3 linked regions of the Drosophila melanogaster genome follow. The protein of the gene in region 1 interacts with the protein of each later gene in a pairwise test. Each region holds a gene or a part of one and is shown in the gene's direction. Other genes may lie near its edges.

Region 1 (8,257 bases):
CGTGCAGCTGTTGGTCGAACTGCTGCTGCAGCCGACGGCGGGCATACTGCTCCATCATCTGGGCCAGAAAAGCATACTCTTGCTCACTCTGCGGATCCATCACAGGCGGCTGAATGGGTCGGCGGCGCAATCCTGCAAGAATTCGGATTCGAATCGTATCAATGTCATCGGATTAGTGGGCACGGGCAGATGATTATGGTAATGGTAATGAGCCTGGGCTGCGTGTTAGGGATCGGAAAATAGAAAGTGAAATCGAAGTCGAAATAGAAATAGAAATAGATGGAATGGCCGAAATGCGGTGGTCTGCCTCCTACAGCCTTAAAGGATTCGAAATAGACAAACAAAAGTTCGTTTTATTGCCAGAGGCTAAAAATAGACCAATTACACACGCGCCCAGGTCAACCCGAGCAATTCCCGCAGAGTGAGGGAGACCAACATACAGTCGGAGGACTGGGAACCGAAGTCTGTGACGTGCGTGGCAATTCCATCGCACTTTGTTGTTTTCGTCGTGTTCAGCCCATTGTTGCGCTTGTATCAAGGAAGTATTTGTTATAGCTGTTGGGATGAACGGAAAAGCTTTAAGGCGCTTAAATGTATGCTACGAAAATCGTAGCTAATCCATATTACATATATTTATACCAAATGCATACATATGAATGTAAATTTCGAGTGGAGAATTTCGTTATTACCACTTATGTGTATTTATGTAGTTACGACGCTGCAGTTGGCTTGACTTTTTAGTTTTGCCGAAGCAATGAGCGTGGGTGTTTTGGTTTGATTCGGAGCACTTCGCAGGACTCGCCATGCATGTATCTAGTGCAGGGGATACACAAATCGAGGTGGCAGCTTTCCTTTCCTTTCCTTTCGCTCCTCCTGCGCCATTCAAGCCCGAACACTCAGGCTGCGTGTGTGGGTACATGGGTGTACGGGCTTATAGGTGAATGGGTGTGTAGTGCGCTATTTTTAGGCTTACCTGGGTAAACGGACATTTCGCAATGACCCAATATGCTGCACAGTAGCGTTGCAGCGAGCGCCAAGCTAACGGTGATTTCCAGGCGAGCCGCCATCTTGCACTTGCCACCAAATGCACTCCCACTTGCGGATTTCTCGAGACCTCAGAAATCAATTTCGAATGGGAACTATCTAGCACTGCACGACCTCTGCCACCACTGCCATATGGCCGGTTAATGGGGCTTTGGCTAGAACGACGACGTCGACGAGGGTTATTGATTTTCAACACCCACACTCGCACACACTTGCGAATATATCCAATTGGCAGCTGCTGGTGGTTGCTCCCCGAACTTTTGCACTTTCGCGTGGGCGTGCAATATTTCTGGCTAGTAACCTGCGCCAACTGCACTTCTCGAGGATTTTTGGGGGTTATTAGGTGTCCTAGCAAAGGTTATGCTGCACTCTACCGGGTGGTTAAAATGTCAAATGGTGCACTTTTCTCACAGATTGCTGGCGAAGAAGCTCAGATGGACATATGGCTGTGGGGATATATGCGGATGGGACTCGACTCCTGGGCTGCGTTGCTCCGCTGTCGACGTATACCGTTATACTGAAGAAACTGAATGAGCCTGGCGGCGGCAAAAAGCCCGAGAAGAAGCAGAAGCTGTGACGCAAATGTTAGGTTCGCCCCCGCGCTGTTAAATGTTGCGGGCAGCTTTTGAGGGCAGGCCGCGCAGCAACAACAACAACCAGAGGGGCACAGTAGTCAAAAGCAGCGCATGCGCACAGTGGGGCTGAAAAGCTCGGCACGTCCGTTCCTTTATTCTTTGAGTAAACACGGGCATTCATAAAGAGCCGAGACGAGGCCAAGGAGACTCTCGGCCAGCTAGCAGGTGGCTGCCACTCACGAATTCCGAAGCCCCGTCAGCCAACTCCACGCCCGCTTTGGGAGAACCCTCCCTTTCCTCCAGCTTCCTCGCTTGGGATAGGGCGTGCTTAATTTTTATCAATGAATTGGCAGCCAAAGAGCTTTTCTCACCGGCAAAGGACTGCGGGAGTTATGGTAGGCCGAATAGTGTATGTGTAGCATTGGTCCTGATGTCCGAATCGGTTGGGAGAAATACCCCCAAGTGGATCTCGGATTCTTACGCGAAATGATTTCGTAACAGATTATCGGGGAATACTCATCTTTTCCTTGCTTTCTTTTCATTGATTAGTCGTTGATAAACGGACTTTTAAAAGACATTTAATAAAAAAGCTTTTAAAAACTTAAAAACCAAAGGTAAGTCCTTTAATAAAGCATTTCATGGAGGTTCGGAGAAAATTAGCATATAAATTGAAAATACATTTAATTAGACCTGGAAGAATTTAAAATCGAATTTAATAAATTATTTTTAACGGTATATACTAGAATCGGTATATTACGTTTAAATAATTTTGAATGGTCATGTTTCGGTCATACTGATGAACTGGTTCATCTGGAACTACACATCTGAGTCATTTTTAGGAGCGACAAAGGAAAAATTATAAACAAATACAATGGCCACCTTAAAGGGTAATTATGCACAACAGTCTCTAGCAAATCTAATGGCTTACATTCTTCGCCTACATCAACACCAACTGGAACCCGCTACACGCCTCTTTTGAAACCATCACACAGCGTATGTCTACAACTACACCCACTCCTGCAGCCAACCGTCTGATAATGATTCCCCTCTTTGTGCAGCCTCTTCATCTGCGCCTTTCTTACATGCATTGGTGTTACCTTCCTGATCCTGGCCTGCGCCGTGCCCACGACAAAGATTTTCTATCCCTTCTTCGTTTTGCTGTTCTACGTGCTGTCAGTTCTTCCAGTCTTCATTGCCAGGAGGACAACTCCTGGAAATGAGACCAATCCGAAATCGGAGTTTGCTCACTTCCTTACCGCGGGAATGGTGCTGAGTGCCTTCGCCCTGCCCATCGTCCTAGCCCACGCATTGGTGGTAAGTGGACACACGGAGCTATTGGGATTTTAAGAGTGTTAAACACGCGATGTCATTCTTAACAGATCACCTGGACGGCGAGTATCCTGACGATAATAAGTAACATTATTAACTACGGCACCATCTTCTGGTACGCCATGCGCGATGACGAGCCATACGGATCCATGTTCTAGAGGGGATTTGTAGTTCACAAGCTCACTAGGCTAGTAACCGGCGCAGGAATATCACCGATGCACTGGGTCCTAGGGTTACGGCCATTTATCCGTAAGCACGCATGCTGTTCGCTTATCCGCAGTCATCAACAAATCTCATATAATCAAATGTATCCAGATAAACGCAAACAAAATAAACTGACGTAGTAGACATTGTCTGGTTCCGGTTCTTTTTGCTGGTTCGATATCGATATCTAAACCACTATTCCATAAGCAGTAATTCTCTCCACTGGCGTATCAAGGAGGGATTAGCTCTCAGTTTTCACTCACTTAATTGAACTGGAAATATTTATAGTCGAAAAAAAATAGCCTGGATGGTGTTCATTTGGCTGCACTGGAACTAGGAACAAGCATTCAGTTGTTAAATATACAAATTTGTAAATATCCTTGCTGGATAAATGAATAGCGGTGTGGCGTTCCTTTTTTCATTGGCGAAAGTACACGTCCTTTGACAAATGGAGTTACACCTCATTTGAGCCCATAACATGGACAGGATTATAAAATCTGAAATCAAGAAGGAACAGATCACGGGTATTCCTTCGGTGGCCCTTCATGGCATCGAGAACTCGATGCAGGACGATAGAGATGTCAACACTGACGTGGAGGAGGACTTCACGGAGGAGGAGTTGGAGCTATTCACAGATCAGGATTCAGACACGGGAGATTCTGATGTGTCGCTCACGCAGCCTGAGGCAGCGCGCAGTGTGCTTTTGAGCAATGCTCCTATGCGCAAGTACCCTTTTAAGCTGAAGCAAAGCGAATCTGGGTGAGTATGCGCTCTAGGCACATTGCGGAGTTGTTGCCAACGAAGTTTGCGAATTCCAGGAACGTCCTAACCGTTCACCACACGATCAAGGAAGCAGGTCAGGCACTGCGCATCCAGATTGCCGCCTGCTGCTTCAACGAACTTAGCAACAAGCTGGTGGTAATAGACAAGCGGTAAGGTTGACAGGGGAAACAATAACGTAATACTCTTTTAAACAGTCTTTTTTATTTCCCAGTGGCAATGTTTTCGTCTTTGACTTTGTACGCAAACGCTACTGGCGGCTGGGATTCCGGATGCCCAAGGCCAAGCTCATTCGGCCATCCCCTCTGCACGGTAGCGACTACATTGTAGGCAATAAAACGGGCCACATTTTCACCATAGACGTGGACAACTCAATTCTTGGGGTCGACGGAGAAGTGGGAAGCGCAGCGCTTGAGGAATTGAGTTGGAGCAATAGCCTGCAGAATGCACGCTCCTCTATCGCTCTGATGCGTTTCGGCAGCGATGCACTTCTGGTGAATCTCCATACTCTGGAGGTTTCCCATCAGCTGGATTTCGATCAGTCGCGCTACACGCTGAAGTTCGCTGCCTTCCTGCCCCACTCGGACCAGTTCTTTATAGGGTTTTCTAACGATTCTCTGCATGTGTGGTCCTCGCATTCATTGAGCACTTTGCGGATGGGCCAGCCTATCAAGGCCAGGAATCGCAAACTGAGACTGCTACCAGCCGCAGAATCTATACCGGAAATAGTTCTCCGAAGCCCGGATGACAGTGACTTGGAGGAGGACTTGACGTTTGACTGCCAGCACTACGACTTTGCCGATGGAATGCTACTCAGCTACTGCTTCACCCCCGACGGCAACAAGATGTGCCTTAGTACCTTGGATGGCTATCTTTTATTGCTGAGCGTGGCCTCTTTTGATCTGGAAAAGATGTACCGCTTGACGGACTTTACTCTCCACCAAATGGCTTTCCTCTCGCAGCCAAAGGAGCGCATAGTGTTTGGAATCACCACCAGAAACCAAGCGGTCATGCTGGATTTAGCCAATACGGATCACAAGCTAATTGTGCAGCGCTCCAATGCACGAAGTTTGAGTCTGAGTCGGGATGGCAAGCTGTTGAGTGTAACGTCTCGCTGCGGAGAAGTCAATGTGTGGTCCACGTGCCGCATTTTTAACGCCCTGCAAGCTCAGATCCGCTGCCTCAGCCAGGTGAAGTCCACTTTCAAACAACCGAATCCTCTGCCGCCCTGCAGCGTCGGTGGAGGCGTTAGCAAAGAACTGCGAGATCTGCTCAATCCGCAGCGCCTAAAAACCATGCTCAAGGAGTACGGTTGCTATCCTGAAAAGTACAGGTACCTAATTTGGACATCCCTCTTAGACCTGCCCTGCAATGGGCCTCAATTCCAGGAACTGATCAAACTGGGGGCACCTCTCCTGGTCAGAAATCGGGCCAAGAAGCTTAAGATTCGCAACGATCACCAACGCCGTGTTGTGATTAAGATTTGGAGTTGCCTTGCTCAATGGTGCAAGGTCTTAGCTCACGCAGATTTTATGCCACACCTGATTTTTCCGTTTGTGAAGCGAATGCCCAAGAATAGTCTGGTTTGCTTTGAGTTAATCGCTACCCTTGTATTGAATCATTTTCAGCTGTGTTTCGAATTTCATCCGCTGCCGCCCTCCAATTATCTGGCCATGTGCGAAAATATCCTGCAGCACTGTGACGAACAGCTTTGCAAGTTTTATAAATCCCAGGAGATGTTGCCTAAAGATTTTGCCTGGCCCCTTCTGAGCACTGCCTTTTCCGAGGTCCTTGAAGAGGAGCAGTGGCTATCGCTGTGGGACAACATATTTTCGGAACCACCCTGGTTTCCAGTCTTTCTTGTAGTGGCCTACAATTTGATTAATCGAGAGATAATCTTGCGGCTGCCAGACAAGCGATCAGTCCTCTTCTTCTTCCACGATCAGAACCCTGTGGACATCAGCAAACTTCTTTCCAAGGCGCGCAAACTAATGTCCAAATGTGCGCTTGCACTTCACCCACAGCGTTTCATGACACACTTCAGCCCCATTCCGAAGGGTGTGTATCCAAAGTTTCTCAAATATCCCAGCGAGTGGATCGATGAGCAGGAGTATCAAGCAGTATCGTTGATCAAGCACAACCAGGAAATCGATGCCCGAATTCGCCATCTTGAGTTGGAGGAGGTTAAAATTATGGAACGCCTTGAAACAGGACTTAAGCAAGAGGAGCACGCTCGCCGCCTCAAAGAAATGGAGAGAGTTTACCAGGACACAATCCATCGCGAGGAAGAGCGCATCACCTGCCAACGGAAAATGCTGCTCACCTACCAAATGGAGGTGCGTCGGCGCAAGAGCGAGGTCATCACTAAGTTACAGGAGTCTGAGCAGCGACGCAAAATTCTGGAGATGGAGAAGGACATGGACCTGCTGATGCACAGTATTGAGCGTGAGCGTCGGCGTCACAACCAAGAAATGCAGCTGGCCGAAGATGAAATTCGTAACCAGGAGATGGAGCTCCTTGCCCAGCGCTACTACTCGGATACGGAGGGTGCTCCACTGGCACAGAAGTATTACGACAAAATCCAGAAACTTTGCTATCAGCGTGATCAGCTGCAGAAAAACTTGCGTGATGTATGTGATAAAAGATTTTAGATTGTATTCTGTGATCTCCTAAGTCTACTTTCTTCCGAACAGATGACCATGGAACAGCTGCGAACTCCAGCAACATCATCTGTGCAATTTAGTCCCCAGCTGGTGGATATCGAGAATTCCATTTTTGAGATACAGAGAGAGTTTACGGAAATCATAACCACAGACAAAACATTGGAGTACAGAAGGAATTTAACTTAACTGAGGCTTTTTTGTACGAATAAACTACAAGGCTAGGATTATGTACATGGCACTAGAAAATAAATAAACAAGGCATATTGGTTATTTCTTGGCCGCGCTTGCGTTGCTGGCGGACGAAGGCACTAACACGTTGGGCACATTGATGAGCAAGTGTATACTGGATGGTGGAATCCGCAGCTGGTCGGCCACCACTATAAACGAAAATAAATTAACTTAACTTCAGGAATGGTTTATTAAAGCTTACCGCCAGCTAAGCTGCTGTGACTCCTGTGCTGCTGCAGTTCCTTTTCTAATCTGGAAATTCTTTCGTGCAGTTCTTGATTCTCCTGCTGCAGCTGGGCGTTCTGTTTGATGAGGTCCTTATGCTCGTTTCGCATCTTGTTACGGTAACGAGAGGCTGCTGCTCTTCGTCGCTCCATACAATCCTCGTCCCGACTGCGATCCTTTGCTTTCGCAGCCTTGGGCGGTGTGGAGAAACTTCGTCTGTTATTATTGCTGTGGATAATGGCCTTCAATCGCTCCTTGATGGGCAGCTGTGAGGTGGGCGTCAGACTGGCGCTACTGGGCTCGTTATTAGGTGGGTTGCAACTGACCAAAATAGGCTCGGGTCTTTTACTGGTCTTGTTTAATTCTTTCGCAGTGGGTTTCGGCAGTATGAAGGGATGAATGGCACCAGTCGGCTTCACCCTGTTTCTGTTACAATCAACTGTAGCGATGGAAATGGGAACTGACTGCGCAGGCAGCACCCATGTTAGGACCTGGGGCTGGATCAACTGCAGCGGCGGCGGACCATCTTGACTGGCTTTGGAAGGCGAGGTAACTGTCGTGGCCAGAAGCTGGTCCACATCCATATCGCCGCAGCTGACACTTTGTGGGACCTGATTTTCAGACGGAACTGATACCACGGTGGGGGCCTCGACGGGATACACCTGGGGCGTGTGCAGGGACTCACCGTCATTGGGTCGAGCCTCTGGGCGACTCGGAGTGCCGCTGACATTTCGCTCCGCTGCTTGCTGGAATCCAATGTCAAATGGATTTACGTGCTGCAGGTCCTCGAAGAGACCCACCTCGTCGCAGTTCTTGATGAGTCGCGTAGGCGTGGGCGTTTGGTCGGCGGCAAATAGAGTGTCTGACTTCTGCCCGAGAGAAATGTCTAGCGAAACATGTTCCGTCTGTGCCCGAAAGTTCTGATAGCAGGATACGTCGCCCTCTGGGGATTTTGTCTCAAAGTCGCCGAAGGACACACTGGCCAGGTGATCCATGTCTCCGGCGGTGTCCATGTCAGAAGTTACATCAAAATCATGCTATTTACAAATCAAACTCCATAATCTGCCGACAATTCTCAATTAAAACAACTATTTTGTAAATCACATTAGCAAAACAAAAAATAAAATTGTTATCGATGTATGGATGTGTTATTGAACCTATCGGACTCCATTAAGAAACCAACTCTGGCTGCAGTGCTGGAAAAGGTAC
Region 2 (7,356 bases), on another chromosome or scaffold:
GCGGTAGCCACTTCGCGACAGCTCCACTATCTCTCCAGGCTCCACTTCGCGGACGTATCTGGCACCGATCGACAGGAAGCCACAGCTCTCACTGGACACCACCCAACCATCGGCAGGTGTGTCTAAGTTATTTCCGTGCCCAGCATTGATGGGCACTATCTTGCCAATGCATAGCGGCCTATTTCCATAGGTGTCCCTCACGGCGTAGATTTTGTCCTTTAGCATGATGACCAGCGAGTAGGAGAGTGGCGCCAGCATCATGAAATGCCTGATCCTAGCTGGCCAGTTGGGTCCATCCAGTTCGGAAACATCCTCCGGGGCGCAGCACAACGACTGGGCGATCAACTCACTGTCGCTGTGCGTGGATAAGCCCACGCCTCTGGCCAAAACCTCCCTTCTTAGAGATTCGTTGTTAACAAGCTCACCATTGTGGGCCAGGGCCAATGCTCCATGTGTCGTATGTACCTCAAAGGGCTGACAGTTAACCACTCCGGATCCGCCAGCGGTCGAGTAGCGTGTATGACCGATGCCCAGGTTGCCACGAAGCTTCTTCATGGAGTCGTCGTTGAACAGGGTGCTGATCATACCCATGCCCTTGTGCACGTTGAAGTTCTTGGAGCACTTTCCCTCGCTGGTCGCTATGCCCGCAGACTCCTGCCCACGATGCTGCAGTGCCACCAGCCCCAAACAGATCACGTGTGCAATGTCCATTTGGGTGGGCCAATCTCCGCAAGCGATTGCCCCGAAAACGCCGCACTCGTGCGTCAAACCGGTTAGCTCCTTGCTGGCCGAGATGGATTCCGATTCCATGCTGGAGGTCACCGCCTCAGCTGGTTCCACCTGTTGTTGCTCGACCACGCGCACATGTTGTTGTTGCTTCTGCTGCGACTGTTGTTGTTGCTGTGGCGCTGACATGTTGCTGCTGAAAAATCGGTACAATATGCTGGTTGAAGGCAACTGATTGCAGGCAGTGGCGCAGTTGACGCCGATCTGATTTACCTGCTGATTTACGCAACGGTTTTATACAAGAAAAATCCTCGCACGCTCGCACGCGCAGCTCAGTTTTTCCCGAATCGGTCGAGATCAAGCCCAATATCGATCGGTCGCTGATATCGATAGTGCGGTGTGCTGATGGATCGATAGCATTCTATAGTCTGTATTTTCAAATTGGAATTTTACCTAATTTGTAATTTAGTACACAAAACAATATACACATTATAATTTGATTTTATTCGTTTATATAAAATATACGCAATCAAACTAAATAATAAGCTTTAAATTGAATTAAAGTTATTTTGCGCAATTAAAATTAATTAAAAATTGTATGTGTATGTTCGTATATATAATATTTAACAGTTTTTTTTTTAACACGTAGGCAATTAAAACCAGAAATATAAAAAATGTTTCGTGAAATAAATAAATAATAATTAACTACATATGTATAACAATTGAAAATAAGTTCACTGCAATCCCTCAATAAAAACGCCACTAAGAGATAAATATATTAGAAAAAATTCACAGTAGGAACATTTTTACAAAAACGGTTTCTTTTATACATTTGATAAGTATCAAACTGAAATGCGATTGGTTCAATTTGTTGGTGTCATTATGAGCAGTAGGAATTTAATGAAAACGTTTAGCTTAAGTACTTGATTCGATATTCGAATTCCGCTTTGCACATCGCGCAAATTGAGAGATAAGATAACTGATGGAATAACTATTTCAAAGCCGTGCGAAGAGTAGTAGTGCGTCCTTCAGCAAAGCCTCCTTTTCCAGACTGACCTACGCCATCGCTATTTCGACGAGCAGAGCTTCTCCGTAAAGAACGGAGCCTCCTTCAGCTTGGCCTTGTCCGCCTCGTCGAGGAACGCCTTGGCCTGCTCGATGTCCCCGCGGATGGCGGCAATCAGTGACTCCAGGGAGTCGAAACTGCGCTCCGGTCGCAGGTAGCCTACAATGCATATCTTGAGTGTCTGGCCGTAAAGGTCACAGTTAAAGTCGTGTAGCATGTGCGTCTCCACGCTCTTCTCCTTGTTGTTGTAGAAGGGATTCCAGCCGATGCTGAGGACCATCTTGTGCACGGGTCCATTATCCACGTTTGCCCAACCGTAGTACGCGCCAGTGGGCAGGGATTCCGGCAGCGATTTCACCACCTCCAGCGGAAAGTTAGCTAACAAGTGGTTTGGTTATCAATTAGAAATGACCTTCGCAATTCGCCTAACGTCGCCACCAACCTGTTGGGATGCCCAGCTCTTTGGAGCCGCGTCCGAAGCCCCGAACAATCTCGCCCCCAGCGAACAGAGGCAGTTGGCTCAGCATTTCCCAGATTTCCTTGCAATCTGACCCAGATCTGCTGTGCTGGCGCTTGAAATGAATATCAGGGGCCAATGGGCGGTTGATTTGCGGTATTCTGTGCAACCGCAAAGCGCTGCGGGCCAATTTATCGAGTCTGGCAAGGAGTCAAGCGGGGTTTTCTACAGAGTACGTATGTTGTGATTGCCGCGTAGCCACTCACATAACTATTCCTCGTTCCATTGATCGGCATAATATTCATAAACACACAGACAAATTTTCCGCATTCATAAAGCGAATCAGCTGTTGCCTTCGGGCTGCCAACCTGTTTCAGTTATATAGTACTGTCAATTAGCGAATTTTTTTTACTAGATATTTAAATTGTAAGAAACTGAAATGTATATATTACGCACAGTATGGTTTTAATCAATAAAGCTTGGGTTTATATTGTAATGCAGAATTAATGTAATTGGATTGATTTTAAAATTTTAGCGGCGGGTTAAACATATTTTCATCAAAAGCTTTTATTTGCTGTGTAGAGCTTCTATTGAAAATATTGAATTTTTATTTCATAAATGAATCATCAGATGTTTTGTGTAAATACTAGTACTCTATTCCCAAAATAAATAGAACACCAAATCGTAATTAAATTACAATGAAAGCCAGCTTGCCTGAAAAATATTTGTGTTATTAATACAAATATACATACATATATACATATATATACATATATACATATTTTTTCATATCATATCAATCTCAATTTTTTTTATTCTGAATAATTGTTTTCCATGTGTACATGTATTATTCAGCACTAAAAAAAATGTACAAATGATCAGTGCGACGGTTGGTTTCTTTGCAGTTCCAGTTATCATCCAATTCTCCAAAAAGTGAACACTTACACTTGTGTAGAATGAGAAATCAATTGAACTCTTTAAAAAATGTGCCGTTTATTCATATAATTTACCAGCAATAACTGTAAAACCAGCGAAACGGGATTATTAGTTTGCAAAACAAGGCCAATGTCAATGGTCAATTCATAAGATGTCGTAAACTGTTCTTTTATTAAAAAACATTGCATTTGGTTGTTGATTTAGATGATGCACAGCGCGAAGAACGTGTGCCGGACTTGTATGGACGAGACCGGCACCCTGGTAGATATATTCGCCAATGTAAGGGATCCTGTGCTCGACGAACCGGAGATGAGCCTCTCGCACATCCTGGCCAGGTGTACCGAACGTCCAGTGAAACGCGGCGACCTGCTGCCGCAGTTCATATGCGTTTCCTGCGTCCTGGCCGTGCAGAATGCTTTCCGGTTCAAGTGGCAAAGCGAGCAGAGCTACCAGCACTTCTTCCGCGTCCTAAACCAGTCGGGTGCTCCGGAAAACCAAGTGCACTTAGCTGCATGTAATGGGGATAAGAACCAGATAATAAACCAGAAAATGCAGCTCAAAAGCGATCGTCAACAGGATACGCAGCAAATGACAAAAACGCAGAAACCAGATGATGATCTTAGTCAAAAACAAACACTCCAAGCGAAGCTCCAAGAGGGAAATATTGATGGCCCACCGGAGTCCTTCACCCTGCATCCTCGTAAGCGGACTTGTCGCACAGAAGAACAGGCAGACATGATCCCAAAGGAAGCTACAAGGTAATGCAATTTGTTATAAATATCAAGCCTCAAGATAGACAAATAATTGAAAAATTATAAAAATTTGAAGGTACATCTTTGATTACTTATACTTTTATATGAATAATTAAAAATAACTTAAATAAGCTTAAATAATTATATTCCCGATTTTCAGAAGTACCAAAATGATCTGCGATGCCGATGGCTACTACAACTGCCCGCACTGTTCTAAGCGATTTTGTTCCCAGACCCAGTTAAGGACCCACATCACCGATCTGTGCAACAGGTGTCCCTACTGCCCACGCACTTATATGCAAAAATCGAACCTCAAGCGGCATTTGCGAAACCACCTAAGCAAGCCAGCGCACAAGTGTTTCCACTGCTCGAAGGCTTTCATGCGTAAAGATCACCTTAAAAGGCACCTGCGCACCCACGACAGTGACGGTCCGCTCTCCTGCAGCCAGTGCTCAGCGGTATTTATCGAACACGTTCAGCTGGAAATCCATCGCAGAGAGCACAAACAAAGGCCGGGCTCTTCAAAATCGGAGTCCACGAAGGATCCTGACTCGGACGACAGCGATCAAGCGCAGGATCTAAAACCAAAGTGGACTAAGAACACCTTCAATGGCACGTGCAGCATTCCACCTATGCTAAAGCCGTGAGTTTGGAACTCCACCAGTCTTATGTAATATAGTTATACCTGATAGTTATACTTATACCCTAGTACCGCTGAGAAATTTGTGACGAGCGAAGGTAGCGTATCTGACCCCTTTATATTCTTAATCGGAACCACTAGCCGAGTTCATAAGTTCTCATCAGTCCGTCCGTTCGTCTATTTTTCCGTCTGTCTGTCCGCAGAGATCTCTGGAATTAAAAATCTAGAAAATTAAGGTTTTGAGTTTGTTTCAGACCTTTAAAAAGCCAACAAACGGACATTAAGTTATTGTTTTCATTTATTCTTTTACTTAAATTTTTGGCGATAGCCATTTCGCCGAAGAAAATTTGAATAATCAAACTTTAACCAAACTTTAAAATTGTATACCCGTTACACGATAAGTAATAAAAAGGTTTACTAGTAGAAGGAAATAATAATCTTGCACAGGATCAATAGTCTGTCCGTCCGTCTGCGTGTCCGTAAGAACGCCGTGATCCCGTTAACTATAGGAGCTAAATCCCTAAGATTTAGTAAAATTTATAGAAATAGAAAACCCTCGCACTTTTACTAGCTGATTAACGGGTATCTGATAGTCGAGGCGAATCAACTAATATCATTTGCTTCTATTTATTTAACAACAGGAAACCGATATGCGATATTTGCCAAAAGAAGTTCAGTAGTGTCTACGCCTTGAAGCGGCATATGCTTACTCACAATCGCCAACATCATCTTAAAAAATGTACCTATTGTTCCGAGGAGTTCAAAACAGAAAAACATCTCAAAAGGCACGAGCGTGGTCACATGGGAGATCTGTTTCGTTGCGAATTTTGCTCATTGGTATTTGTAGATGTTAACTACTTGCGAAAGCACAAAAAACGCATTCACAGCAACAACGTAATAGCGATGTAGGAGAAGATCATGTCCAAACGGGTGACTACCGGTTATACTCTTGGAAAACAACCATTGAATTAAGCAGATTAATATATGTGAAAGGAATATAAACGATTTATTATTCATTATAATTATAATGACCGCAGGTCTAAACTTCTGTTGTTGATTCTTACTTTGAATTTTCTTAAATATGATTCTTTTGTTACTTTCATAAGCTCAAAATTAATATTATTTAAGTTTCGTTTTAATTATATATTTCACAGAAACTCAAATATACTGAGAATAAGCTCTAAATTTATATTATTGAAATTTCCTTTTAATTGTATATTTCACAATACATTATTATACTGAAAATAATTAAACAATCGATTGATTGCTACCACATGCTACTTAATGCCTTCTTATATATCTTTAGAGCTTCAAACTTTTTTCTTTTAGCTTTGTTGTGGTTTTGCGAGAACAAAAGGAAAAATAGACAAAAAGAATGATCCATACATCATGAAAACAACTAGTATGCTTTATTATTAGTACGTTTTGTTCTTAATATAGAAAAAAAGGGAATATATATGCTTTATGCTTTATGGACGTGCGACTATATCAAATGTAACGTATAACGTTAAAGGTAGTCTGTGTAGTATTAATACACAATTGTAAACGAATTCAATCCGTTAAAAAACACTTTGGTGAAATTGTAAAGCTTTTGTATGCGAACAATTTAAACAAAAAAAAACATAATCTTCTTAAAACTAACTAAAATACTTCGACTCACATCTCGAAGAGTTTCTTTAGCTCCGCGAGGTTGAGACCACCGCCAACACATTTGGTCACTTCTCCTCCTTCCTCTGGAAGCACAACTTTCGCAATTTCTAGCTTGCAATCTTGCAGGGACTTAATTCGTTGCTCTACAGTGTCCTGGCACATGTAGCGGTAGATGAAGGTAGGCTTAGTTTGACCATATCGATAAATGCGGTCCTGAGCCTGTCGCTCCAGCTGCGGGTTCCAGTGGAGGTCCACAATTAGCATATGATTGGCCACGTTCAGATTCAGTCCCACTCCGCCAGCGGTGAGGGAGAGTAGAAGAACGCGCTTCTCGTTATTCGCGTTAAAGTCTCGCAGTACAATCTCGCGTTCTTTGGCGGTCAGCTGGCCATTAAAGTCAAGTGTTTCCCATGATAGATCCTGCAGTCTTTTACGGACGATTGCGAGATAGCTTACCCACTGAGATGTAACAATGATTTTGTCGTTGGTGCCTGTGAGCAGTTCCTCTAGCTTATCAATGACCATCTTTAGTTTGGCAGAAGGGCGTATGAACTGAAAGATGGGATTCTGGGGATTGAGCAGTTTAAGAGCTCTGGCACTATCTAGTTGATCCTCAAAAGAACTGGCCGTTGGCAGGTCATCACCAGAATCCCATGGCACATTCTCCTCCTTAATTTCATCTTTTATCACTTCCAACTTGAAATTGCCATCTCTTCTAGTACTGTCCTCCTCGTCACAACAGTCATCTTCGCTATCGGTTTCGTCAAACTTATCCAACTCGGCAAGGACATCCATCTTGAGCTGGCCCTCCACGTCTGAGGCATCCACCTTCACGTTCTGGACGTCCTCGGCGGTCAAAGCACCACGCAGCATCTAACGAAAGATGTTGAGTATGATTATGTGGGGTGATAAAGTAAAATATGTATATATTTACCCCAATCATTAGTCCCGGATGGCAACAAAACTGTCGTAGCCGCAGCAGTAGCACCAGGATATAGATACCAAGGATCTTTTCCCCTGGATTGTAGCCAAGCGACTTAAGGAATCTTTCGTAGATCTCGTTGTACCTTTCGTCGGACATATGTCCGGCTATAAACTGTGGGGTTCTTTCCAGAGAGTAATAATTTAA
Region 3 (9,797 bases), on another chromosome or scaffold:
ATCTGACGGATATTTGCCAAATCCGACGCCAGCGGCACTTAAGCTGCTCAAGATTGTTCGCATTGTCAGGATTGCAAGCTGGGTTTTCACGGAGGGCAGAGAAAATGCAGAAATACTTACATATGTATGTGGCCACGTGGTAATAGAGTTATAATGCCAATAAACAAATGTATGAAATGTATAAAAACTTAAATAAATATTGAATATTTACAAGGTGTTTCACTTGAAAAAATTCAAAATCTTTTTAAAAGACACCCCCCACCAAACAGAAAATAAAATTTTAATTTAATTTATGCAAAAGTCCAACGAAAAAAGTTTTAAATATCCCGCCCACTAATTCATTAGCCGCTGCCCCCCAAAAAGCATATTTTACCCGCTTTTGGGCCAAAAAGGAAAAGGAATCTTTTTTTTGTTGGCCTGAGCCCAAAATCAAACCCACAAAAAGCTCTCGCGCGTTTGCCTTGATTGTCCTTGATGGATGGATGAAATGGATGGATGATGGACGTTCCACCAACCGCGCGAACCACTCATAATGGAGAATGGAGGGTGGTAATGCGGCGCTAAAAGCAAATGACAATCAGCGGAGGGAGCGGCAAACATTTAACAAAAAGACAAGAAACAAAGTTTAAAATCTAAAAAATTGAAACGGGCTAATGGTGGTGGGGGGTGGAGGGTGCAGGTCTAAGAACGGTGGTACATTGCAATTTACATGCAAACAAACAAATAAGCCCAGCCAGCCCAGAAAACCACCCACCACCACTCAACGTATGGCCTTCCCTTTCGCACCGCTTTGTTTGCTTTCACCACCCAACCACCTCAAACCTTCTCTGTCTGTCTCTCCGTCTGTATATGTGCGTGTATGTTCGCTCAACATTTCAATCAACGCTCGAGTGAAATGTGAAAAAAAAATCATAATAAAAGCAAGGATAATATGGCAAGCGAGTGGTTTGGCGGATGGGTGGAGCGTTGAAAGTGGTGCCGCCGCCCAAGCGGAAATGGATGCGCATCACAAAAGTGGCACAAATTGTGTGGCATGTGTGAGACGTTGCATGCGGCTATAAAAGAGAGGAAGATATAGTGTCTTTAAATTGTTAAAAGCACGCAACATGTCCCTCGAAAATAACTATAAATTTAATTTTATATTTAATTTATGTAGGAATCAGCATCACTTCAAACTTTCATCGATCAACACAATATCGAAATGCAACTCTGCATTTCAAACATATTATGATCTACCTATTTAAATCACACTTTATTCATCAGCGTACCTTGATCATACTTTTCATTTTCTGATATGCTGAACATTTTCGAAATTCCACATCTTTTGACCGCCCCAACTTGCAACTTATTCGAGGGGCTTCCCCACTGCAACAGCCGCTGTTACACGCTATAAAACCAGGTCCCTTTTCCGAACGGATTGCCATAACAACCGTTAACCGAGTTGTATTCAAAATCTCGAGCTGAGTCGAGTCCAAACAAAAATTAAAAAAAAAAAAGGTGGAAGGGAAATGCGACGACCAGAACCAAATCCAAAGTGTAAACATTCACAGCCTCCGTTGGGTGAGGGAAAAATGGATTTGGTGTGGGTTTTTGGTGGGTGATGGCGGGGAATGCTAGACAATGCCGAATGCCAAACGCCCATACCCAAACTCCCTGGACAGAAACAGCTTCCTTCCGTGCTGACGTTTGATGTGCAGCCATGGGAGCTTTTCTTTTTTTTTTTTTTTTTAATACTGCGAGTGGGTGGCAAACACGCAACCAACGTGTGGCAACAGCTAACAACTAGTGCAAAAAAGGACGAGCCAAAAAATGCGGTATTTATTTCAAACAAGCTCAGCCCAGCAAACTGCAAAAAAAGCTACACGAGTTTTTCAAAGCTATTGCTCTGGATTCAGATTCCATTGCCGATGGCAAGTTGCAAAGATGCACAGCCGAAAAATGCTATAGCCACTGTTAAATGTTTAAATAAAATCCACATACCTTCATCATAATTATTTATGATTATTTAAGTCTTAGCACTGAGTACTAGAACAAACAAGTAACTACACACAACTATACCAATAACAGTGAAATTTTTCCAGTGATCTTCGTACACAGACACACGATGCAATTGCTTGGCAACAGCTTGTGGGGAGGTGTCGCTAATGAAGTCGCAAACAGTCGGTGGCAGCAAAAAATTAAGCAAAGAAAGCAACGCAACGCTCTACATATCCAACCGCATCCGCATGCCTTCATTGTAATAGAAATTATAAGCTTATCCTGCTCAAACCGGCCCATCACCCACCTACTCCCGCAGTTGAGCTGTCGTTTTAGCAACACGTTGCCCGTAGCCAAGGACTGCATCCATTGTTCCACTGGCAACATCCGCCAGAGATTGGTAATTGAAACCGGGGAACGTTGCCCGAGAAATGTGGAAAAAAAAAGTTCCATCACAGTAATAAATATAACACTTATTCTTGAATTTAATTCTTAGAATTTTGATTTATGATAATGCATGATATGATAATGCTTTGTGTTCCGAAGCACATAAGCCCCAGGTTGGGCGCCAAATAAGCAGTTCATTACCTAAACAAAACCATTTTAAGAAGGTCTCTTTACTTCCGTTTCCCAGTCGATCTTTAACGTGTAAAATTTGGCAAGACTGCACCAACCGGAAGCGATCAACCCATAGACCAATGAGCTTACGTCTCGCTCTAGTTTTGGTCGTCTTTTTGAAAACTTTTTACCTTTCTTCGAGGGTGGTTTCCATGAACACTTTAGCACTGTTGCTGCTGGTGATGTTGCTACTGCTACTGCCACAGTCGATGTTGCTGCTGCTGATGCGCACCACCAATGCCACAGCGACTGTGGCGCACCACCACCCACCTAGCAGCTCTGCTGGCGCTCTGCTTACGCCTCGTTTCATTTACAACAATTCATAATTTTAAAATCGCACCGAACTCGCCTCGTTCTGGTTCTGGTACTCGGTCTCTGTTTTTCTGTTTCTGTCTCGGCCTCAGGACTCGTTGGATGCTGCTCTGCTTTCCTGCTGTTGCCGCTGCTGGCACTCATTTCATTTGATTTTTAACTGTCATCGACGGCAGTTCAGACCGCTAGCAACGCGTTACCCAAGCAGTGCTTATATTATTTTATATATTTTTTTTAAGTGAAATAAGTTTTAAACAAATATATCTATCAATATAGTAATCATAGGTGAGAAAATTGATCAGCTCGCAAGATCGGATTTGAATGTGTTAAAAAAACGCGTCTATAAAAAATATTATTGTGAAAATGCAATCAATGATTATATTCCAACTTAAGAACTCCTCTTTTAATAAAACACAATTTGGACATTCTTAATAATTAACCTGATATTTTAATAAGGTTAATAATAAGCTAATAAAATCTTATATATAAGCTTCATAAGGCATTCGTTTACAATTAAACTTTTCGATCAAAGCCTAACAAACCCAAGAACTTTACTAATCTTTCTTGAAACATTTAATCCAAATGATTAGAATAAAACCAAAAATACTTTATGCACTTCAGTCAGTCTATGAACCGAAACAATCCAAGCTAAACTTCAAATTTTCATTGGAGAAATTATTTAGCCATAATTCAAACGCATCCAGGGGTTGCACTTTACTTCAACCCTTTGCAAAATCCCAGATCAATCTACACGAAGAACCTGTCAGAAAGGGTTCAACGCAAATTCGATTTTGAAAAACGTTGTGATGCATGCGTATCTCTGGCAGCGGGCAAAGTTGCAAATGAAATTTTGTCAAATTTTCAGGCAACCCAAACGGACACGAATACGGACAACATACACGGGACAGAGTTCCCCGGATGCGGGGCAGGGGTAACTGTCTGCTGTAGCCGACACACATGGACAGAAAGCCACAAGTGGCACATTATTTTAATTCGCAGTCAAACGCTGTAACGTTAACACCACAACGCCATGTCACCAACAAACCAACAAGTTCATTTGTCCCCATATGTGCGTGGATATGAGCGGGGTGGCTTAAACACAGGGCAGGAACAGGCAGGACGCTTAACGAGCAAGGGTTAAAAATGTTATTTATTAGTCATTTGAGCGATCTAGTTTGGTCATAAAAAAATTTTTTATATTTAAAATTATTAGCTAATTTCAGATTTACATTCTTAGGCAGCTACATATTTTCCAATTCTTCATCCTTTGAAACTATTTAACTAACCCGATAACAATCCACTGTTCATAAAGCCCCACATTGGGCGCCAATTACACGATACATCACGCTTTACAAAGATTACAACCGCGCCTGAATGGCACAAAATGCGAACATAGACTTCGTTCAGGGTTGCACACCAGGTGAGCACGAGGAGGGTTGCTAACCAACTCCATGGGTGGGAAGATGAACTCCAGAGTGATTTCGGAATGAAGTGGCATGGGCAACTTATCGCTGTTTGATATGCAGTAATTATGTTATAAGGTTGCCCAGCCCAAGTGCCAGTTAAGTGTACGCTTACAGGGGTTGCCCGCAATCCCAATCGGCTCTTCTATTTTCCGGTGGTGGCTTAAATTTAACATCGATGATGCGACATCAATCAGCTGGGCAGCCTTGAGTGGGTGGATCACCACCCAAGGGGAATCCAGTGGAGGGATTACTTTCTACTCTGGTTTTAATTGCCACGCTGTTTGAGAAGGGGAAAAAAAAAGAATTTCGCAAAAGTTAGTACTCAGCTTATCCCCAGACGAAAGACAAACAAAAGTCGGATGCACTTTGCGCATTAATCTCAGCTCCATATTTTTAGTTCTCGGACTTATTCTCAGCTGCAAAACTTATGCACAAACTTGGGCATGGGCCATAAAAGAAAGTTGGCCGACAGCTGCTGATTGAATATTAAAATGCTGCCAGTTGCTCCAGAGCCACCACAGCCATAACCAATTTAAAAATGAGAAGAGAAACTGGCAATTAAAGCTCTGCCCAGCATCAATCAGTGCCGGGGAAAATCAACGGAATTTCCACCGAGTACCAGATGCCGGGTTGGCCACGCCTATCACCGCCCACAACCACCGCGCCTTAATTAGCATAATCTAATTTTAACTTTGTCGCAAAAATGTCGCCCTAACCAACATTTTTACCTCTCACGAACAACGGCTGCCAAAAAATGCAAATCAACACCCGTCCGTTTGAAAATCTCCGCCTCCGAAACCCCCAATCATATATTCCTTTTGCGACGGTTGAAAACTTTATATATTTTTACAACGAAATGAAAAAACAATATAAAAATAAAAAATTCCACAAATCCAACATGGAATAACGGAAAAAACAGAAGGAATGCAAATGAATGTTCCAAGCAATCGTATAGAAGCTGATGATACCTAAAAATGCAATATATTCTATAATGAATAATTGCAAATTATGTTTTTCGTTTTCGAAAAAACCATAGAAACCATAGAAGGAAAAAATCATGAAGGATTAATTCAAAGTTCACAAACTAAGTAATGCCTTCAAATTGTTCAATTTGTGTACTCCTTGATATTACTTTCGTTTTATTATAGGGTATTCGGTAACAGGCGTCGTCTGTGGGTTGTTAAAAACTTTTTAAATGCGAAAATGAAAGAGCAACAAGGCAATGGAGTCGTGGAAATGGGGGGGGGGGGTCCTTCAATGCGTGATTCTGTACTGTTCCTGGTTAGAATTGACAGGCACACAGGCGGCACAGGATACAAGCAGCCAGGACACAGCGTCAAGTGCCTCAACAGTTTGGCAACACAACAATTGAGTTTGTCCTCCAACGTTCGCGGAAATGGAGGCGGCAATGAGGGTGGTTGGGTGTCACTGCTGTTGAAACATTTAATTTACTGGAATTTGGCGCGATGTGTGTAAGCTTATTAACAGCTTTTAAGGGATCAGCGGGGAGTTGGAGACGGAAAAAAAATTATGGGGATAACGGAGAGTGAGGGAACTTGCGCGCCTGTTTTTCTATGCAAATTTCATTTGTTTTTTGGGTGCTGGGCACAGATGTTGGCTTAATAAAGTTATAATAAAGGTAGCTTAGCTGACGGCAGCTGTGGAACAATGGATTTGATGCACATGGCAGTTATGCTATTACAATTATACGAATACAGGACTCTAAAGGTTGCGGGCTTGATGCTTAATGCTTGAACTGATTTCTAATCTACTTTTCTATCAATTACATTCCATTTGCTAACATCTTGGATTTTCAGTCAATCTTAAGACGCTTTCAAGTTCAACACCAAGTCCCTTCAGTCATTATTTAGACTTCCTTGCCAACCGAGAAAACTCACACACATTTATACATCGAGACAGATTCACTCGGAGCAAACAGAAAATTCAGATTTAATTGTCCCGTGGGTAATGGTTGGGCGGGAGCATGGAAAAGGCGGTGGAATGCCAGTCCAAGACAATGCAAATATATATCCCTATACAAATATAAATTTCAAGTGACTTCAGCCACAGAACTGAGCCAACGTCTTTTGTGTGTTCTTAACTTTTTTTCTCCAACAGCAGCAGCAATGAAGGACAGCAGTAACAGCATCTCGTCGAGCAACACAGCAGGGATGCCATGCTCAACGGGAGGAGCAGTAGCGTCAGCAGGGGTAACCACCAGCAATGCCACGCCCAGTGCGCCTAGTACGCCCACAACAGCAGCAGCAGCAGCAGCAGCAGCGGCGGCAGCAGCATCTGCTGCAGATCCAACCGCAACGAATCCGCAAAATCCGCAGCAACGCAGCAAGAGCAACATCCATGAGCTAAGAAATCAGGACTACGTCAGTCGTTTAATGGCAGCCACACCACCGTATTTGTATTCCGCACCCGTGGGACCAAATAATTTCTTTTTCAGCGATATGCTGCGTTCCTTGGTGCAAGCGCGAAATAATGAGACGGCGCGTGTCTTGCAGCTGCAGCAGCAACAGCAGCAGCAGCAGCAGCAGGCACAGCAACAACAGCAGCAGCAACATCAGGCCGCCTTGGTGAGGCGGCCAAGAAAACGCTCCTGGTCGCATCGTCCATACTACGAGCAATTGCGGGAGCGACGCGATGCAGAGGAGAAGCAGCAGCAACACCAGCAGCAGCAGCAGCAGCAGCAGCAACATCAACAGCATCAGCAGCAGCAACATCAGCAACTTCAGCAGCAACTGGTGCCGGAGAAACCTCTAGAGCTGACCAATAAGGCAATGACACCCTATGGCTATGCCAAAATGGAAACCAAACCAGGTGCTATGGGTATAACACCGCCAACGCCAACGACGGCACCACCAACGGCTGGCAATAAGACTGGTGGTCTGGGTGGTGCCGTCGACACTAACCTGCAGGACAATACACCGCCGGCGGCATCGTTGCCACCACAGGATTTGGTCCTGCCGCCACCACCACCGGTTTGGTATCCACCACTTTATGCACCCTACGGCATCGATCCGTTGCACTTCTTCATCGATCTTCGCGTTTCCGGACATATATACGATAGAAAGAAGGAGAATGTCTCACCGCTTTCGAGTAGCAATAATGCACTTGCCGAAGAAGGTTCACCCGGCTCGTGTTCCAGCTCGGGCGCCACTTCCGCTTCCGGTTTGGCCAGTAATTTGCTGAGCAAACAGCGTCATGGCTCCGCCTTCACTGTACCCATACCCAAGGCGGCCCAAAACGATGCCATCAATCTGTGCGCCAATGCGGCAGGATCAAACGCCGGCGGTGGTGGTGCAGTGACCACCAGCACATTGGGCAACAAATTCGAGCACTATGCCAAATACTATGATCTGGGCGAGACTAAGGAAAATCAACCGTCCAGTACGGCTGCTAATCTTTCGGCAGCCGCTGCTGCCGCTGCTGCAGCTGCAAACTTATCGAAATCGGGCGCCAGCTATATGTTGCAACATCTGCCACGCCTTTACAGTCAGTTTGCCGCCCATCAGGCGCAGGTGCAGAGTCAGGATATCGATGCCAAGTCGGAATCGGCATCGGTTAGTGCCTCACTTTCGGCACCCGATCTTTGCGATGAAGATTCACTGGAACGAAATTCCAGTGATACGGGTGCCGGTTTGGAGGGAACGAGCGGCAATCAGGGCAATTGTGACATCGATGTGGAGATCATTGACTCCATCAAGTATCGCACGGATGGCGAGAGCAGTCGATGTTCCAGCAATGACGAGGCTTCCATCACGCAAATCGATTGAGGCTACTTATTTAAATAATACGAATAAAGTTAATGTGTCCATAATATGATCATTGTTTATTTCATTTTCTACAGAAATTGGTGGTTTTGAGAAGGTAAGTAACTTGAAGAATAAGAAGAAACAGTTACGCGCTCAATAAATGCTTATACAACAAAATGATAGAGATCTATCAAATCAACGTTTCTTTGCAAATAAACATGACAGCTTGTAACTGAAACTGTGGCCCAAGTTGAAGTTTCCCTGCCCCTAGAAATATGCAACGGTAAAAGTAATTTCATAAATCATTTCACGCCGTCGTCGTCGCCTGTTGGTTCATCTTCCACGTATTTGCTGCCTTAAGGCATTTTTTAAATGTCGTTGCACGAATTGTCGAGCTTCAGGCCCACCAACGTTGGGCGCCACATAAAAAAGGAGCCTTCATCATACCGCCACCGAGCATTACACGCCTGACTACGCTTTGTGTAAATTAAAACTGCTGCCGGCTGCTGCTGCTGACGATGACAATGCCACCCAATTCCCGCCACAGTTCTCTTGCATTCCTCGTTTTTTTTTTTTTTTTATTCTTTTTTCATTTGAGCCCCACAGGATATTAATTTTTACACCATTCATTGATTTTGTTTGCTACCCGGTTGCTTAATGAACACATTGCAATGCAAAACGGTGGGGGCGTGGCGACTTGTGCGTTCACCAGGCTCGTTTCCGTTTCCGTTTTTATTTATGTTGCTTCTTGTTTTCCCCCCCCCCCCCTTTAACATTGTTATCAAACGTATGGATTTTCATGAGTTTGCAAATTTCTGCACATTGAGGCAGAAAAAGTGCACTGAAAGCCAATCAAAGCAGCAGTAACAAAACAAAAAAGTGAATAAAAAACCAACACGAGTACAGTCTGAATCAAAAGTGTCGATAAAAATTTGCATGAACATCGCTAAGAGAGGCGGGGCCAAAAAAAGAAGAAGCAAAGTGGGGGTCTCATCATCATCATCATCATGATTGTGTAATCAAAGTAAGTAGCAAGAAGAGATAGCAGCGAAATTGAAATTCAACCTAATTGCAGGAAATTTATAACTCAACTTAACAGCTGACAGATTTTTCCCTTTTTGCTGCCGCGGGGATTTCTATGCGGTTAGAGGAGGGTCCTGTCATGAATACTTGCGTACTTTTGTTATCCTCTCGAAATTCATAAATCTTGGCAGACGCTCATAATTCATGCAACAGTCGACAATTGGCAGCGGTTTCCACTCAAGCCCGATGGGGATGATAGTGGGTGTGGGTAAGGATATACCAACCAGCAATAAGATCAACTTGCGGCTGTAAACAAAATTTTACCAATGACAATTCGGGCTAACTGGCAACGAACAAAAAAAAAAAAAAAAACAGGAAAATACTTCAAGAAAACCCGAAGAAGCGTTGAAAATCCTTTGGGCGAAGATGGGGTGGAGTTTCTTTTTTAACAAACAATGAATGCAGCATATCCCAAGGGGACAAAAGTACTTGGGCGTGTTGACAGCTTAAAGCTTTCCCCTTAATTGATAGATTTGTTTGTCTAACGCGCAAGGAAATTAAAGAAGACGTGAAAAAGAGTTATTGCATAGGGTGGAATGGGATTATTCAATGGTACTGTCTCTCGATATTATATTAC

What was found. Proteins that work in one complex are often made in the same cells at the same time.
Region 2: the proteins of CG16896 (region 1) and kipf interact in a two-hybrid assay, tested with the Drosophila melanogaster proteins (one large-scale study listed by BioGRID).
Region 3: the proteins of CG16896 (region 1) and CG15478 interact in a two-hybrid assay, tested with the Drosophila melanogaster proteins (one large-scale study listed by BioGRID).

What each region holds. Positions count from the first base shown.
Region 1 is NT_033778.4:24,870,014-24,878,270, reverse strand, and holds CG16896 (uncharacterized protein), read left to right. Parts: upstream 1-3,358; 5' UTR 3,359-3,630; coding exon 3,631-3,911; intron 3,912-3,970; coding exon 3,971-4,084; intron 4,085-4,146; coding exon 4,147-6,562; intron 6,563-6,625; coding exon 6,626-6,781; 3' UTR 6,782-6,862; downstream 6,863-8,257. Other genes in the region: CG44247 (uncharacterized protein), read right to left, coding at 1-132, 974-1,067; CG30423 (uncharacterized protein), read left to right, coding at 2,491-2,506, 2,612-2,612, 2,678-2,933, 2,999-3,106; Atf-2 (activating transcription factor-2), read right to left, coding at 6,863-6,972, 7,026-8,061.
Region 2 is NT_033777.3:7,910,695-7,918,050, forward strand, and holds kipf (kipferl), read left to right. Parts: upstream 1-3,156; 5' UTR 3,157-3,389; coding exon 3,390-3,943; intron 3,944-4,097; coding exon 4,098-4,580; coding exon of another isoform or gene 4,581-4,584; exon of another isoform or gene 4,585-4,675; intron 4,676-5,218; coding exon 5,219-5,486; 3' UTR 5,487-5,759; downstream 5,760-7,356. Other genes in the region: Prat (phosphoribosylamidotransferase), read right to left, coding at 1-915; Rfk (riboflavin kinase), read right to left, coding at 1,794-2,170, 2,235-2,319; CG10445 (uncharacterized protein), read right to left, coding at 6,234-7,100, 7,162-7,356. UniProt on the Drosophila melanogaster protein: DNA-binding zinc finger protein that recruits chromo domain protein rhino/rhi to specific chromatin regions enriched in H3K9me2/3 histone methylation, mediating piRNA (piwi-interacting RNA) biogenesis.
Region 3 is NC_004354.4:7,711,186-7,720,982, reverse strand, and holds CG15478 (uncharacterized protein), read left to right. Parts: upstream 1-3,050; 5' UTR 3,051-3,192; intron 3,193-5,866; exon of another isoform or gene 5,867-6,012; intron 6,013-6,491; 5' UTR 6,492-6,499; coding exon 6,500-8,158; 3' UTR 8,159-8,200; downstream 8,201-9,797.